Arabidopsis thaliana: one gene and its partner. The protein of the gene in region 1 interacts with the protein of each later gene in a pairwise test. Each region holds a gene or a part of one and is shown in the gene's direction. Other genes may lie near its edges.

Region 1 (10,387 bases):
AATACCTATATCTATATATTTTTATACTAAATCACTTTTGTGTGTAGTGATATAACAAATAGTTGATATTTGAACATTTACTCCATAGGAAGAACAAGGTGCTGTAGATATGATGGATATTGTAATTACATTTGATGAGGTAAAAGGCTTTTCAACTTTCACAATCCTATTTTAGGAAAATTAATTTTTTCTTATAATTAATTTTTGAATTTTATTGGATTATACATAATTTTTGAAAGAAATAATATAATCATACATATATATACATTAAACCAATTTTGTGTACAATATAGATATGACACATAATTGATATTTGAACATTGGTTGAATAGGAGGAAGAAGATGTTGCAGCTTTGACTGATATTCCAGAACAAGATGTTGAGATTTTGACTGATGTTCCTGAACAAGGTGTTACAGATTTGACTGATGTTCCATTGACATTTGATCAGGTAATCTTTTAAATTTTTACAATAATAATTTTAGTTATAAGTTGTATTCTAGTTTTATTGAAGTCTACGTAATTTTGAGTTTTGAAATATACTTACAAACGATTGATATAAAAAATATGGTTTTATTGAAGTCTACGTAATTTATCGAAATTGGTTTGATATATATACAATGATATAGCAAATAATTGATGTTTGAATATTAATTGCATAGGAGGAACAATGTGGTGCAGATTTGATAGATGTTTCATTGCCATTTGATGATGTATTTAAACTTTTACAATTCTACTTTAATAAAGTTAATTTTGGTTATAGTTCTCATCAAAATTTATTGAATCCTAGAAAATTCTTACTTTTTGAGAAAAAAAACTATAATGATACACCGATGCCATATTTTCATTTTTATATCAATTATAGAAATATAAAGAGTCTAATAGTATTTGTAGTCTATGAAATGTCACGTGTGTACTAGATCTAATTTCTTATAGCAAATTCATTTACTAGTTTATGTTTTCTGATACAGGATTGGAAGGATGATGGCCTCATGAACTTTATGCTGGATGTTGACGACATGTTTTAAGAAAATCTTTTAATTTTGCTTTTGAAAGTATCAGATTAATATTTGATAACTTTGTTATGTTGTTTAAGATTTTATTTAAAATTTGGATGTTGTTTTGGTTTAAGATTGTTTTCAATTTTTGACGTTGTTTTTGTCATCATGACTCATATTCAATTTGGATGCTATTTAAGTAATTTGTGAATTTCGTAGATGTTTACATGCATATCACTGATTGAATGATTGCATTTGTAGATATATGTTTGGAATCGTAAACCAAATTTTATTTTTATATTTAAAATAAAATGCTACAACTCTTAACAGTTTATTTTAATCATTTCAAAACCTTCGTTCTCTCCCTTTTGCCATCTACTCGCATACTTTTTTTAATCCACATATTTTCTTTTAAATAGTAAATACTACATTGTTTTTAGTATATCACAACAACAAAATTTGATAATGTAACATAAACGACCAATCACAAATCATATACAACTAGACAAAAATAATCACATATGTTACACCTTACAATAAATCTGAAAACTAAGTATAGTATATTATATTATCGTGTAATTAATATCTAGATATTAATTGAATAATTCCCATTTAAATTTTGGGTGAACCGGTCTAACGGGTTGTAGGGTTGCCGTGGAGGCTGAACTAGAATCAAACGTTTCCCATCTTGTTGTTATGATCACCGGAGGACTTGATGAGGAGGCCGTCGGTTTCCTTGACGCCTCCTCGTAAAATGTCAGCATTTCCCGTTCCTTGTATTGCGGCTTTGGTTTCGTTTGCGGTTGCCTTGAGTTCTTGATCTTCAACAAGTCGAGAGCCTCAACATACTTGTGTAATCTTTCCTCCTTCCAACAATTTGTAAATCGAATCATTAGATTCTAACTATACATAAAAAATAATAATTGTCAAAGCGACTTCAAAAACTTGAATAACAAGACTTTATGGGTATGATTGGTAATTACTTATAGAATGGTTCCATAATTCTGCAAATTTATGAATAAAAATTAATAGAGTTGTGTCATCTAGAATTCTAAGTAAAATGAAGAATTAGATTAGTAACAGTGAGTAATAAAACATGATTTAAGTACCTGCATCTTCTTCTTCAATTTAACGTCTCCATCACCTGAGATGGCATCGAGCTTGACCAATTGATTCATCAACATCTCCATCAAATTCTCAAGATTCTTCTCTTCAACTTTCCCTCCTTTACCAATCACTGTATCAAACGCCGACAGCTAAAGTCCAAAAACCAAAAAAAACAATTCTGATTCAAGTTACGAGACAAGAGCGTTGTTATCCGGAAAATTTAAAATTATGTTTCTTAAGTTACTTGTCCGGCGAGTCTTTCGACTTGGAAACTAATATCAGAGATTGCTTTAGATGATTTCTCTTTGGTGGCGATTTTCCTCAACTCAAGGAGACGTTTCTCCTGAGAAATGGGATCTTCTATAAGAATAAGTTTCGAACGATCTTTGACACCAGAAAGATCAAGAAACATCTTTGAGTCTCTTTCTTTGTCTTTGTATATAATCTGCATGTCTTGATGATGAACTCCTGTCGCACCAGACAATATCTTCTTTAATTCCCCTGTTGTTAAATTCAACAACAACAACAATCAAATTCCAAAAACAGAGCATACTAATAGTATAAAGGAAATACTGTATAACTCGGAATGTTTTGTGTCGTTTACCGAAAGTAGATTGAGAGTTGATACTGATCTCGTGATGGACCGACCCGTATTTGACCCGAACCCGAATGCCACGTGGCACGCTTGAGCTATGATCCGTCCTTTTCTGTACAACCATTCCTCCAGGTCGGAGCTCCATTTCACCGTCGCCGGAAGTTGTTGTTCCGATACTCATTTTCATCATTTTCTTTATTAAGAGAGATAGAGAGAAAAAAACAGAGGAATGATGAGATGAAGTTGATTTCTGAAAAAGATCAAGAAGAAGAAGAAGAAAAAAGAAACGTCTGAGCAAAGAGAAGTAAATACACTTTGTTTTGTAATAAATTAATGTTTCTGTTTCTGGACAGAACTCGTGGAAGAAGAAGAAAGATAAGAATCATATAAAGCAGATTATTGTTTTATAAAATTTTATACAATGAGAAAAAAAAGTTAAAGAAAAGAGTGACAGCTAATGTGATTGTTGTTATGTCTCATTATCAGTCCATCACAGATACATATATTTAATATAAATGTTGTATCCCCCACATATTTATTTCTATTTCTGATAAATAATGACGATATATTAATGTCGTTGTTACATTTATATTTATTTGTCATCGTTCTTCTGTATTTTATAAGTCGTGTTCTACGTTTCTAAGTACAGGTAAGCTAATGAAATAACTGAAACAGAAACTTGTGTTACACGTCACGCCTTTAACTCCGACAAACTCTGCAACTTAAAAATCTCTCTTTCTTGCAGATCCACATTGTCTAGAATTATCGTCGGTGTTGTGTGTCTTCTTGCCAAGTTTTGAATGATCCATGGACCGTACGGACCACACACGAGCTTTCTTTGATCATTTCTTGAACAAGCTAGTGCTTTAGAGACAGAGACACCGGTTAGGTTTGACCTCAAGACTGTTCGAGAACAGAGCTTTGAACGGTTGGAGAACAGAGTATAATTATTTATGGGCTAATAATGGGCCTAAAAATACTGAAATAGGCCTGTTGGGTCGTAGCTCCATATAGTTGGATGATCTTGTCGAAATATTTTAGGGGTTGAATTGTCAAAGGGAGTAATATTGGGGTCAATAAGTAATCATGCAAAAAAGAGGATATTTGTCGTAAGCCCACTCATTTACAGCTGCAATCATTGGTACAGTTATTACAAAAAAATAAAATAAAAAACATAATTTGGTCAATCAACTTTAAACTACACGCGTCGCACACGATCCATGCTCTCAATCGAACGATCCACAATTGATTTAACTTTATTGATCGCAAGGTCAAGAATATGCCACGCAATCAAAACAGCTAAAGGTTACCAATCGGTCATACGATACTTGTTACGATAAACAAGACACGTGTCAGTATTGACTAGCGGGTAATAAAAAGTACTTGCAAAACCATAAGCAGATGGGTCACCGGCTTGTCCGGTCAGATTTGGTTCTTACGATTTCCTCTAGGTATATTAACAAAGGCGCGTCAAGTTCATTGCCTAGTTCCAGCTCTCTCCAGGATTTTCCTTTTTTTTATGCAAAAACAACAAACACAAAATAAATAAGAAGATTGTTTATTTTAACTTTATATTACAGCTTGAAATTTCCAGGCAAATTTTTTTCCTTCTTCTTCTTCTTCTTCTTGTCTCATTAATTATCTTCCTCTTCTTCTGTTTCAATTCAGCTGGGTTTAGTTTTAATTTCTAGTTGTGATCTCTCAGCTTTTGTTCTATATTGATCGAAGCTCCACTTAACAGTTCTTCGTACGTTGTTTCCGTGTTCTTCGCTTTTTTATTTTGTAATTTAATTTCGGTTGCTTTTTAAATATCTAACTCCGAGATTTTTAAGGGATTGCTATCTATTTTTTTTTTTTTTGGGGATTGGTTAGTTTCTCGGTTAGTTATGTTAAGTAACGAACTTTAAAATTAGGGTTTTGATTTGGTTTTTTTTTTATTTCAGTGGTTAAGTTCAATGTCTGTGTATCTTTAATAACGCACCAGATTCATGTGTTAGGGAATGTTATTGATCTGATTTTAATCGATACATGTATAATGTTGTAGGTATCAGTAGTAAAGGTGGGACATTTGTGTCGCATTGAGGAAGAAACTTTGGATTTCAGACTCACTTGGGACCTACCCTTTAATGGCTTCTTCAACTTCTGGGATTTTCTTTCAAGGAGATGATGAATCTCAAAGCTTCATTAACTCTCACTTGACTTCCTCTTATGGGAATTCATCTAACTCTGCTCCTGGATGTGGTGGACCTACTGGTGGCTATCACAATCTCAGTATGGTTTCTGGTGATATGCATAATCCGGTTATGATGAGTGTTTCAACACCCGGTCCAAGCGCAGGAGCTAGTTCGCTTGTCACAGATGCTAATTCAGGGCTCTCTGGAGGTGGTCCTCATTTGCAGCGTAGTGCTAGTATCAATAATGAGTCATATATGCGTTTACCGGCGTCTCCTATGTCGTTCTCTTCTAATAATATCAGCATATCTGGTTCATCAGTTGTAGATGGGTCGACTGTGGTACAACGGCATGATCCTAGTGTTCAGCTAGGTGGCTCTAGTGCTACATCACTGCCTACATCACAAACTAATCAAATCCCGCTTTCTATGGCTCGGCGTGCTTCTGAATCGTTCTTTCAGGATCCAAACAACTTAACTCAAGCACGGAAAAAACCTAGATTAGATTCAAAGCAGGATGATGCTTTGCAGCAGCAGATTTTACGTCAGTGGCTTCAGAGACAGGATATATTGCAGCAGCAGCAGCAACAACAACAACAAGGCCAAAATCCACAGTTCCAAATCTTGCTTCAGCAACAAAAGCTGAGGCAACAGCAACAATATCTCCAGTCCCTCCCACCATTGCAACGGGTTCAACTGCAGCAGCAGCAACAAGTGCAGCAACAGCAACAGTTGCAGCAGCAGCACCAACAGCAACAGCAACAGTTGCAACAACAAGGAATGCAAATGCAACTAACCGGTGGGCCAAGACCTTATGAAAATAGCGTTTGCGCTCGAAGATTGATGCAGTACCTATATCATCAGCGACAAAGGCCTTCTGTGAGTGTGCATGTAGTCGTCAAATTTTTTGTTTTATGTGTATTCTAGAAAAAAGCTCTTGACAGATACCAGTCGTGTCATTGCTGATTTTGTAGGAGAGCAGTATTGTTTACTGGAGGAAATTTGTGACGGAGTATTTTTCTCCCCGGGCAAAGAAAAGATGGTGTCTTTCTCATTATGATAATGTGGGGCATAGTGCACTTGGTGTTTCTCCTCAGGCAGCCACGGTTTGTTTCCCTGACTCTTTGTTTTTTTTGGTTTCATACTCTTTATGCTGATCTTACGGTGTAGTTACAAATAGGTTACTTATTCTTGCTTTTTGTATTTTCCATTTGCAGGATGAATGGCAGTGTGATCTATGTGGTTCTAAATCGGGAAGAGGATTTGGTAAGTTCCAATTTGCTTATACCCTGATGAAGAAGAGGGAAATTTCAAAAATGTTTATGGTAGCAAAACATCTTCTCTTAGTAACTTTTTCTTATGGATTCTGCAGAAGCAACTTTTGATGTCTTGCCAAGGCTTAACGAAATCAAATTCGCAAGTGGTGTCCTGGACGAGCTTCTTTATCTGGGTGTACCGTCTGAACGCAGATATGGATCTGGAATTATGGTGTTAGAGTATGGAAAAGCAGTTCAGGAGAGTGTGTACGAACATATCCGTGTTGTTCGCGAAGGCCATCTTCGGATTATATTCTCCCAAGAGCTGAAGGTGGTTTAAAGAGCTTTTGATTCCAAATACTTTTAATCATTAATGTGTATTAAAGTAACTTAGCTTATCCTTTTTCCTTTTGCCAGATTCTCTCATGGGAGTTCTGTACTCGTCGACATGAAGAACTACTTCCTCGTCGCCTAGTAGCTCCACAGGTAACATTAATGGTTCTTACAATCTTTGTGACTCTTTTTGAAATCCCTGGTCTTGAGATTTTTTGAATGTCTGCTCCCTATGGTCGTGCAGGTGAACCAATTGCTTCAGGTTGCAGAGAAATGTCAGAGCACAATTGATCAAAGTGGATCAGATGGGATTCATCAACAAGATTTGCAAGCTAATAGCAACATGTGAGTCTTGATGATTCTAGACAATATTTCACTCTCTTTCTTCCATATTTCTCAATCAATTCAATTTCATTGTTTCTTGCATCTTGTACGGTAATTAGGTAAGATTTTTCACTGATGCAAAGAAGATCAAAGCGATTTTAGCTTAATATATACAAATATGATGTACTGATGCCAAGTCTTTTGCTCCAGGGTCATGGCTGCTGGACGTCAACTAGCAAAAAGCTTGGAGTCACATTCACTCAATGACTTAGGCTTCTCAAAACGATATGTTCGGTGTCTGCAGGTATCTCTCTGCCTACTTTCTTGCATTTTCCTGGTGGCGTGTCTCCTTTTTACTGTTTAACTCTTGCCATCTTCTTTAAACAGATTTCTGAGGTTGTCAGCAGCATGAAAGATATGATTGACTTTTGCCGTGACCAAAAAGTGGGTCCAATCGGTAAGTTAATACATAAATCCCAGAGAGTCCCTGAGATTCATCAAAACGCTTTTTTTTTACTTGGCTGTGCTTATAAAAAGCTTTCTTGCTACCTTTTAACATTTGCAGAGGCTTTGAAGAGCTATCCATATCGAATGAAGGCTGGTAAACCTCAGATGCAGGAGATGGAGCAACTAGCGGCTGCCCGAGGGCTTCCACCTGATAGGAACAGTCTCAACAAGCTAATGGCCTTGCGCAATTCCGGGATAAACATACCAATGAACAACATGAGCGGTCAAGGATCTCTTCCCGGCTCTGCACAAGCTGCCGCTTTTGCGCTTACCAACTACCAGAGCATGCTCATGAAACAAAACCATCTGAATTCAGACCTAAACAACACCACAATCCAGCAAGAACCATCAAGAAACCGGAGTGCATCCCCGAGCTATCAAGGAACTAGTCCCTTGTTACCTGGTTTTGTGCATAGCCCATCAATAAGTGGTGTATCTTCCCATCTATCTCCTCAGCGGCAAATGCCAAGCTCCAGTTATAATGGCTCAACCCAGCAATACCACCAACAGCCACCTTCCTGTAGTAGCGGTAACCAAACATTGGAACAACAAATGATTCATCAAATATGGCAACAGATGGCAAACAGCAATGGAGGCTCCGGTCAACAACAACAGTCACTTTCTGGTCAGAACATGATGAATTGCAATACCAACATGGGAAGAAACAGAACAGATTATGTTCCCGCAGCAGCTGAAACACCAAGCACCTCCAACAGATTCAGAGGCATCAAGGGGTTAGACCAAAGCCAAAACCTGGAAGGTATTATCTCTAATACATCGCTCAACTTTGGGAATAACGGGGTTTTTAGCAATGAGGTTGATGAAAGCATGGGAGGATATTCTTGGAAGTCATGAGAGGCATTTTGATAGTTAGCTCCAATGTTGTCTTTGTAAAGAACGAGTTACTAAAGACTAACTTTCTTAGGTATATGAATCTGATGAGGGGGATTCAATGTTAACGTGTCTACTGTGTTGTTGTTCTTTCTTCTTCTTAGATTAAAGCTTCTCTTTTTATGAAGAGGTTTTTCTGGAAAGTGTTACTAATTCTGGAAAAGAAAAAAGACTGTTCTTCAGGAACTCATCGCTATCAATCAATATTTTACCTTTTTTCTTATGACTTTTTTTAAGCCTCGTTTATTTAAAGCTGATACAGTTACAAACATCGGTAACACGTCACAAACAAGCCAGACACATGCTATTTTTTTCTCTGAAATTTTAATAAAATGTATTTGTGACGTGATTTTAAATCATACAAAATTCCACAAATACGGATATGTAATCTTCATCTACTTGCACTAATACAGTAATACTTTTCATCTTCAATATACCAACCATCCTACTATCTACAAGAGATAATTTGTCAACTCCTTTTACCATAGTTAATTTCATATATTACATAATTTTGTATATGAAATATTTTTGCTTTGCACTAAAGAATAAAATAAATAAATAAAAAAACCTTGCACTCAGCGTGGTGGATAGAGAACAGAGTGATTTACTTTCACATGTAAATCTTGTGAACTAACTAGACCATGTGACCATGCCAAACGTCTCCTCAACTCATCTAATTAATCACTCAAAATATACACTCAAAACATTATATAAATGATAAATCTAAACATATGATATCATATACATAGAACTACATCAGATATCTATAGAAACAAACTTATCCATGGCAATAATGGCATCGTTCAAGTCTTTCGCAGCCGTTCTCAGTGTCCTTTTTCTTGCCATGACTGCTATAGAAACGGTAGTTCAAGCCCAAGAATGTGGCAACGATCTAGCAAATGTGCAGGTATGCGCCGCCATGGTGCTGCCCGGTTCAGGCAGACCAAATTCAGAGTGTTGCGCCGCACTTCAATCTACTAATAGAGATTGTCTATGCAACGCTCTCCGTGCAGCCACCTCTCTTCCTTCGCTTTGTAACCTTCCTCCTGTGGATTGTGGTACGGATTTATTTACTTTTAACCAAGAAGTTTGATATTTGGCTCGTTATCCCAAGATGAGGATGAATAAAACAAATCTCAATATATATTTAGTTTTAGTTACCAACATTTTAGACTTGGCCTAATATATGGCCAAACCAAAAAGACTTGGCCTAAGATTCCAAGTAGATTAAGTAGGATAAAACCTCATATATCAGCTCTAGCTAACTCGGCTAATGTAGTAATGTGTTTATTTAATGATATATAGACCTCTATTTCATATCTGTTTCTGAGGTTTTTTTGTTTTTTTGTTTGTTTTGTTTTTGGGTTGTGCAGGTATAAATGCTTAGTTAAGCTACGAGTCAATTCCAAGATGATCAAGGAAAACGGGAAAATAAAGAATAATGAGAAATATTCCAGTCTTATGTTTTTTCTTCTAACTTCTGCTTTACTATAATAAAGTTCTAGTAGTTTTGCTTAGAAATTTAGATACTACTAGTATAATAAAAAGCTTTGATAATTATGAGAATAAAACATTCCCGGTCTGAAACCAAATTATTCTTAAACATGTACGTACGTAAGTCTAGACATCAGAAATAAATTAGATTAGTGACTTGTTTAATATGCATGGAAAATCATGTTAGTTTTCATTGTTGCCAAGCTAACAATGTTTGTTTAAAAGCTAGAAAGTCTAAAAATTGCACCTGACCCCTCTAGTGCTTGTTGCTGAATACGACTTGAGGAGGATAGTATTTATTAGTGGTTATAGACGATCGTTATCACAGCTAGTCTTTATTTTCGAATGTTCCCTATTTGTTTTCCTTTTTCGTAGACTTACTTCTAAACTGCATCCTACTGAACAGTAAAATATAGATAACTAAACAAATAGATAGATGAATAAACGAAGAAAACAACACCTTTCAAAATCGAGGGGTTAATCTAGCTAGTGATTAACAACTTCTCTTTATAGAATTTGAAGTACAAGAAGAATTTGAATTGTGCCACCAGAATAACAACCTATGTAACATTTGTATGGCCTGGATAAAAGATAAACACCTATCATCCACACAAAATATATTTCTGATTTCAAAAACATATTCCATACACATTTGTAAAGTTTGCAGTCATTGTATTGGATTGAAGCAAAGAAAAAAGCTGCCAAATTGCAGA
Region 2 (7,519 bases), on another chromosome or scaffold:
ATTTGTGGCTTAACTAGACTTCTCTGCTTCTAGGTCTCTGGTTTTCATCTTGATGCCCATGACCAAGTTTCTGGTGGAAGGTCGACACTTTCAAGGGAACCACTAGATCCGCAGAAGGCAATCTCACTACCTTCTTCTCCCCAGAACTACCGAAGCCAATATGAACAGAGTGGATCGTCACATCGCAATATAAGCCACATCTGGGATAAAGTATTGGGATCTCCCATGTTCCAGAATAAGCCATTATTACCTTATGAAGAATGGAACATAGACTTCTCTGAGCTGACTGTTGGGACACGTGTCGGAATTGGTTAGGATCTTTAGCTCAATGTTTTCGAATTTATGTGTTCTTAAAAAAATTGTTGGCCATAAGTTTCCTTAAGAGAAACGTCTAGTTATCTTACTTCACGATCCTTACCCTCGTATTTATCTATCTTCAAAAGTTTACTTTTTTTTTTTGAATTAGTAACCCATCTAAATCTTCTTCGTTGATTTTTCCTTCCAGGATTTTTCGGAGAAGTATTCCGTGGGATCTGGAACGGGACAGACGTTGCTATCAAAGTGTTCCTTGAGCAAGACCTTACAGCTGAGAACATGGAGGATTTCTGCAATGAGATATCAATTCTTAGGTATGTCTATAGGCTTTCTCTGTTTTATTCAAAATTGGCAATAACGTCTTTACTTGTCTTCTGACTTTCTTTCCTGCCTTCTCCTTCTGCGTCCAAATAACCACTAGCCGACTTAGACATCCCAATGGTACTAAACTACTCATCTATCTCTATGAATTTTCACTGTGAGATTTTAGTATATGTTTTCATCAATGCATGCATCTTCGACTTCTTGTAGTTATACTGTTCCTTGGAGCATGCACAAAGCCTCCACGATTATCACTGATCACTGAGTACATGGAAATGGGATCTTTGTATTACTTGCTCCACTTGAGTGGACAAAAAAAGAGGTTAAGCTGGCGGAGGAAGCTAAAGATGCTGCGGGACATTTGCAGGTAATTTCATCTTCCATACAAAACCGTGTATCCTTCTTTCCAACATAGTATGTAGTATTAATATGGAAAATTTTGGTTTGAGGAGAAGGCAATAACACTTCCAAATAGGACCTGGAATTGTGTCTCGATGAGAAAGTTTCGTAATCATCTTTAATTAACAAACAGCGTTTAAACTTGTAAAATGTTGCTAGGGGATTGATGTGTATACACCGGATGGGGATAGTACACCGTGATATAAAGAGTGCAAACTGTCTTTTGAGCAACAAATGGACAGTCAAGATCTGTGATTTTGGGCTGTCGAGAATAATGACAGGGACAACAATGAGAGACACAGTCTCTGCAGGAACTCCAGAGTGGATGGCTCCTGAACTTATCCGCAATGAGCCCTTCTCAGAAAAGTGTGATATCTTCAGTTTAGGTGTAATAATGTGGGAGCTATGCACTTTAACCAGACCTTGGGAAGGAGTACCGCCTGAACGGGTAACTTAACTGAACAAGAAGAAGACTCTTTAGTGACATATGTGTATATATAACAAGTTTCCTCATATTTCTTCTCAGGTTGTTTATGCTATTGCTTACGAGGGAGCTCGGCTTGAGATTCCTGAAGGACCACTGGGAAAGCTTATTGCAGGTCTTGTGACTTGTCAAAGTGTTGTTATTTCGTTTTTCCTGAAGCTTTGTTTGGGGTTTATGGAGTATCCTTTTCTGATGTGTTGTCTCTTGTTCGCAGATTGTTGGACAGAACCGGAACAAAGACCGAGTTGCAATGAGATACTCTCTCGTTTGCTGGATTGTGAGTATTCGCTTTGCTAACTTTCTCTCAATCATATTTTCCTTCTGTGAATATAAAACTTTGCAGCGAGAGAGGTTTTTGTTTTCTTCGTTTCTTTTTTTTGAATATTGTTGGCTTTCTCCTTTGAGTTTGTACAAAAGAACTTTGGCGCTTTCACATCCACAAAAAGCTTTGTGGAACTCTTTTCCGTTTAATCATTTGCAAATTCGTAAATTTCAAAACCTCTGAAACAAAAAAGTAAGTCTTATAAATTTTACAAAAGGTGAGAAGAGTTGCTCATTCTTTCAGTTTAAATGATCAAGCTTGCTACTCTTTTTCGTACCATAAGGTTTGTTCCCTGCTTTGCATTTGCTATAAGAAAATTACGGACAAATACATGTACTTTTCGTTTATATTTCGTGCCTTAAGAAATGAAAAGGAGCTTTGATTGACAAAGAAAAAAGAGCAAACTACAGTTTTTGCAGAACTTCTAGTTATTTAAAGAAAAAACGATTTTATGTTCGTAGCCGTAATTTGTCATTACCTATTTGACAACAACATACATTCTAGTACCGAGTTTAAATTCGGTGATATAACAACGATACTAGTAGTTCGCGTTACCCATTTAGCTTATCACCTAAACACACAAAACTTAGAATAACTTATTCTAATATAGCAATGTGTCATTAACTTACAAAAATAGATCGTTTGATCATATTCTACTTGGCAGTACTATCATTACATTTTACGGAAACTAAACCAAACATCTAACGAGCCATATCCGATTTTTTAATTAGCTTTGATTTTTCTCTACAATCTACAGTTTCAGAAATTTCACCATGCTATAAATTTGTCAATTACATACTATTTAGGATGTGATACCAATTCATTTGGAACCGTTATCATATTCTAATTAAGTTAGACAACAAAAAAAAAGGAAAATATCAACCAAAACTTACATATTATATTACCAACGATTCACCCAAAAAAAAAATATATTACCAACGATTCATAATGAAATTTAATTAGAACTACCACACATAATATTACTAATTAACTTTAGACTTATCAAATTGCATATTAAAATGAATATTTAAAGCTTTTGTAAGAAAAAAAAATATAGAGAAATATTATCTTGTTCGGTAGTCAACATTAACAAAATAAAATAAAAATTAAAACGTTTTAGCTGTTAAAAAATAAAAACCAAATTAACGATGTATATAAATTAGCTAGAGCTGGCTCGTTTAGTCTGGCTCACGGTTTAGTACATGCACACAAAGCAAAAACGCTGGTTTGTCTTTTTAAAAAAAAAGAACTTCGTTTCTCTTCAATTCCGTTACCGTCACTGTCACCGTTCACCTCCGTTTATCTCATCCTCACCGTTCATCTTCTTCGATCTAACTCGCCGTCGTTCACCTTATAATGGACACCGTCAACGATTCCTTTTCGCCGGGATCTTCCCGACCTTCGCCGGCGACGCTTTCTCGTGAAGATTGCTGGAGCGAGGAAGCGACCTTCACGCTCATCCAAGCCTGGGGTAATCGCTACGTCGACCTCAGCCGAGGTAATCTCCGTCAGAAACACTGGCAAGAGGTGGCTAACGCCGTTAACGACCGTCACTACAACACCGGTCGAAACGTTTCCGCCGCCAAATCGCAGCCGTATCGCACCGACGTTCAGTGTAAAAACCGGATCGATACTCTGAAGAAGAAGTACAAAGTCGAGAAGGCTAGGGTTTCGGAATCCAATCCCGGTGCCTACATCAGCCCTTGGCCTTTCTTCTCCGCTCTCGATGACCTTCTCCGGGAAAGCTTTCCGACGTCTAGTAATCCTGATTCAACTGATAACATCCCGCACCAGAGGCTATCACTTCCGATGTCCATTAATCCAGTTCCGGTCGCTCCACGATCGGCGATCCCCAGACGTCCGGCGACATCGCCGGCGATTATACCTCACGCCGGTGACGATTTACTCGGATTTCGCGGGAATCTCAACGCATTCGCGGCAGCCGCAGCGGCGGCGGCGTGTCCGGCGTCTGAAGATGACTCGGAAGGTTCAAGGTCTAGATCGAGCGGTCGTAGCGGGAGTAACAAGAAGCGGGAGAGGAAAATTGAGAAGAAGCAAGGCTACAAGGAAGTTGCCGACGCAATTGAGAGGCTTGGACAGATATACGAGAGAGTCGAGGAGAAGAAGAGGAAGGAAATGGTTGAATTGGAGAAGCAGAGAATGAGATTCGCTAAGGAATTGGAATGCCATAGGATGCAACTGTTCACGGAGATGCAGGTACGTCTTCATAAGCTCCGGCGTACCTCTGGCTCCAAAGGACCGACTTCCTCCGCCTCCGCCGGTGAGACCTGAATCCTTTCTCTCGCCGTATTTCGTAATCTGTTCAGAATTCTATGTCTTTCTCCATTGTTTAGCTGTGTAACAGTGACTATAGCATAAGAGTAGAAACAAATTTTACCTTTTTACTTGTGATAGTCTCTGTGCCAACGACGGCTATAATAAACCCAATCAAAGTACAAGAACAAATTGATATCGCACAGAGATGATGAATCTGAACAAAAATAAACTAATTAGTAGCAAGTATTGGTATTCATGGTAAGGAGGAGGTCCTGGTTACATTTTTCTCCTAGATGTTGTTGCTTTGTTACTTGTGTTTCTTGTAATTATAGTCTGAGTGTGGAAAGTTTTTCTACAATGACTGATGTGAGCATTAGTTGGGAAGCAGTTCATGAGCTAGAAACTTGAATCTGCTTCTGTTTGTTGTTAAGCATGAGTGCTTTGTGAAGTGTTTTGAGTGTGATGCCCAGTAAGTTTTGAGTGTAGAGTAGCCTTTTTGTTGGTTAGTTGATTGAGAAGATTGTGAGTTTACATGCTAACTGCTTCGAAAGTTAGGAAATAATGGGTATGGATGTTTGAAAAGAGAATGCATGATATGTGGAAGGATTTTTCGGATGCATCAACCATTAGTTTCTGACATATAGTCTCAGGAGACAAAATTTGATTTTTTTTTGGATGCATCAAATCTTTCCTGCAACTTGGCTATGGCATTACACGACAGACATTTGTTTCTTTCGTTTTCGCTTGGTCCATATTTCTTTACTTGTTAGTCACCTGCTAATTTGATGAATTCCTCTTTGCATTACATGTTTGACCACTAGAACAAATTATCAGCAGCAGGTCTATGTATGAATAATAAGTGAACTTTTTCTGTTTATGCAGCTCTTGATTATGGGATGATGGATTTCCCTAGTTACTTCTAGAGGTACGACTCCTTTATTTATATTTAAAACTCCCTAGTCGATCAAAACTTTGCCTATGTACAAAATGTGTAGACTTGTTGGGCTAAGTCGTTGGTTTTGTTTGCAGCATCATGAGTTTGTGATTGTAGCCATTTTGATGAAGATGAGAGAAAGTCAGCGTTCTTCCACCAACCAATAGAAGATATGGTAACAAAGAAACATGAGTTTCTCTTTGTTTTGTAAATTTTAACCCTTTTAGAAGATTCCGATTCCAACCCAGGATTGAAAAAAAAATTGGTGACGTTATATTGGTATATCTACACAATGAAACAGTACAAGAAACAGTTTTCAGCAAAATTATATTGGTTAGTATTGTTTGGTATTTCTTAGTTTGTGTTCTAATTTATGATTTAATGAGGTGGAAAATAAAAAAAAAATCTTCAGGGATATACCGCTATATCCTAGTAATTCATTATTTATCTATTACAAATCTCAAGTTCTCAACTCCATAACATGTTAAGTTTAAGAGACTTTAATATGAAATGTTAAGAACTTGAGATTCATAACCTTTGCCCAAAATGTGAGGCAAATCATTTTTGCTCTCATTGAGACTTTGTCATAGTTTGTGTTCTGTATTGGCGCCTCAAATTCCTTCTATGAAACTATAGTTTATTTGTCAATGGATATTTTATTGAAAGCAGTGTTATTACAAGTAACCCAGCCCACCAGGACCCATTTGTAATAAGTAAGAGTTTCTAAAACAAACAAAAATAAGAAAACCAAATGAACCATTAAATTGGGGCCTTTTTGCATGAACGATAATTGAGAAACATGCATTTTCCTCGGATTAATACAATCGGAGCAGGTTTCAATATGATAATACAGTAAAGCAAAACAAAAGAATGAAAATTTCAATTAACAAAATGGCTCTTTGAATCAATTTACGTTCGTGAAGACTAAAGATTTGAAAGAATGAGAAGAGAGATATGTTATAAGAGGAAATGCGTAACAGAGTCCTCTAGTAACTGATGACTAGGACATACCATTTCCTTCACTTTCTCTCCCTTCTTATAAATCTTAAACGTTGGAATTTTCTTGATGCTCTCTGCTTTCGCCAATGCCAAGCTCTCCTCTACGTCCACCTATAGACAAACAAACCCCGTTAAAGCGTTAGACCAAAAACGATAACCATTTTGCGCGATTGAGCATAAGAACAAGTGACTTGCCTTGAAAAAATGTACTAATGGATACCGTAAGCATAAAGTGTTGACGAATGGAGATATTGCTTCGCTTTGCCGGTTTGATGATGATTTGAAATGAAACACAGAGATTCCTGAAAAATATTTCCATTTTTTTTTGTTTAGCAAAGAGAGGAATCTTGAAACTAACACTTGCAAAGTGAGTTAGCTAGTTTATACCGGGCAGTGATGTTGCGGTCTTGAACTTATCTAAGGTCGAAACTTCTTCAACTTCGTTATTGAATCCCAAATATTTAGGTTCTTCGGATTTGTTCGATAGAGCGTTCCTTGCTCTCTGTAAAGACTCAGCAACCTCACTGTCTCCTGGAAGTTCCTTTCTCAATACTTCATAATCTCTGACCGCATCCTCCCATCGGCCAAGCTGCATTTAACATTTGTTAATCCAAATACTTAATTAGAAACTCGGTTCAAAACCATTCAGTGTCTTCAATCTAACCTTTCCATACGAAGCAGCTCTTCGGAGAAGAGCTTTGGTGTAACTAGGCTGAATTCTTAGCGCTTGATTACAATCATCAACAGATTTCTCCCACATACCGAGTTTAAACCAACATGCCGCTCTATTACAATACAAAACCGAATTGAAAGCATCCAACTTGAGTCCGTCCCCATAAGCCACACTCGCTTCCGAGTATCTCCCCGAACTAAAAAGCTCGTTTCCTCGGGTACGAGCTTTCGCCACATTCTTCACATTGTTTAAGACCGATACTACCTCGGGACTATTGCTATGATCAATCGTCATGGCTCTCTCCACCTTTACAATCGCATTCTCAAATCTGCAACAAACCTAACATCTCTACTCACTCACCCAAGAACCAAACAAGACTACTAATAAAGAATCAAAAACACCATTCGAAGTTTAAGCATTTCGAAGCTCACCTTCCTAACGCCATATCAACTTGAGCTTGAACACAGAGCACATAAGCATCACATACTATACCAAATAGTTTCTCAGGTGGTTGAGTATGGTGATGATCCAATCTCGGAATGCTGGATATACACAAATCTGAATCCTTTATCTGATGAAGCCGCAAAAAGGCTTCAGCTTTACAAGCTACAAGCTGCACAAGATCAAACCTCATTGTTTAAAAGATAAAGTCTTTTCGCTGATAATTCAACCACAAAAGAGGCAATCAATGCCACTTTTTGATCTCTAACCTGAGGAGAAGAATCAGCTCCATTTGCAATGGCTGCATCGATTTCGCTAATCACCGTTCTCCAATCACCGATCTTTCGAGCCTCC

Evidence for each region. Proteins that work in one complex are often made in the same cells at the same time.
Region 2: the proteins of SLK2 (region 1) and AT3G58630 interact in a two-hybrid assay, tested with the Arabidopsis thaliana proteins (one large-scale study listed by BioGRID).

Annotation. Positions count from the first base shown.
Region 1 is NC_003076.8:24,932,978-24,943,364, reverse strand, and holds SLK2 (SEUSS-like 2), read left to right. Parts: upstream 1-4,125; 5' UTR 4,126-4,445; exon of another isoform or gene 4,446-4,742; 5' UTR 4,743-4,824; coding exon 4,825-5,748; intron 5,749-5,843; coding exon 5,844-5,975; intron 5,976-6,086; coding exon 6,087-6,135; intron 6,136-6,241; coding exon 6,242-6,456; intron 6,457-6,542; coding exon 6,543-6,611; intron 6,612-6,702; coding exon 6,703-6,803; intron 6,804-6,992; coding exon 6,993-7,086; intron 7,087-7,169; coding exon 7,170-7,239; intron 7,240-7,347; coding exon 7,348-8,144; 3' UTR 8,145-8,403; downstream 8,404-10,387. Other genes in the region: AT5G62110 (Homeodomain-like superfamily protein), read left to right, coding at 89-139, 333-449, 970-1,026; BAG2 (BCL-2-associated athanogene 2), read right to left, coding at 1,590-1,895, 2,106-2,252, 2,348-2,604, 2,708-2,888; AT5G62080 (Bifunctional inhibitor/lipid-transfer protein/seed storage 2S albumin superfamily protein), read left to right, coding at 8,965-9,238, 9,554-9,567. UniProt on the Arabidopsis thaliana protein: Probable transcription regulator that functions in the development of the carpel margin meristem similarly to SEUSS (SEU).
Region 2 is NC_003074.8:21,681,450-21,688,968, reverse strand, and holds AT3G58630 (sequence-specific DNA binding transcription factor), read left to right. Parts: upstream 1-2,929; 5' UTR 2,930-3,197; coding exon 3,198-4,122; coding exon of another isoform or gene 4,123-4,133; exon of another isoform or gene 4,134-5,000; coding exon 5,001-5,041; 3' UTR 5,042-5,043; intron 5,044-5,147; 3' UTR 5,148-5,439; downstream 5,440-7,519. Other genes in the region: AT3G58640 (Mitogen activated protein kinase kinase kinase-like protein), read left to right, coding at 34-310, 506-629, 737-756, 847-1,003, 1,195-1,483, 1,562-1,634, 1,734-1,816; TTL4 (tetratricopetide-repeat thioredoxin-like 4), read right to left, coding at 6,010-6,162, 6,247-6,353, 6,439-6,640, 6,716-7,052, 7,156-7,337, 7,435-7,519.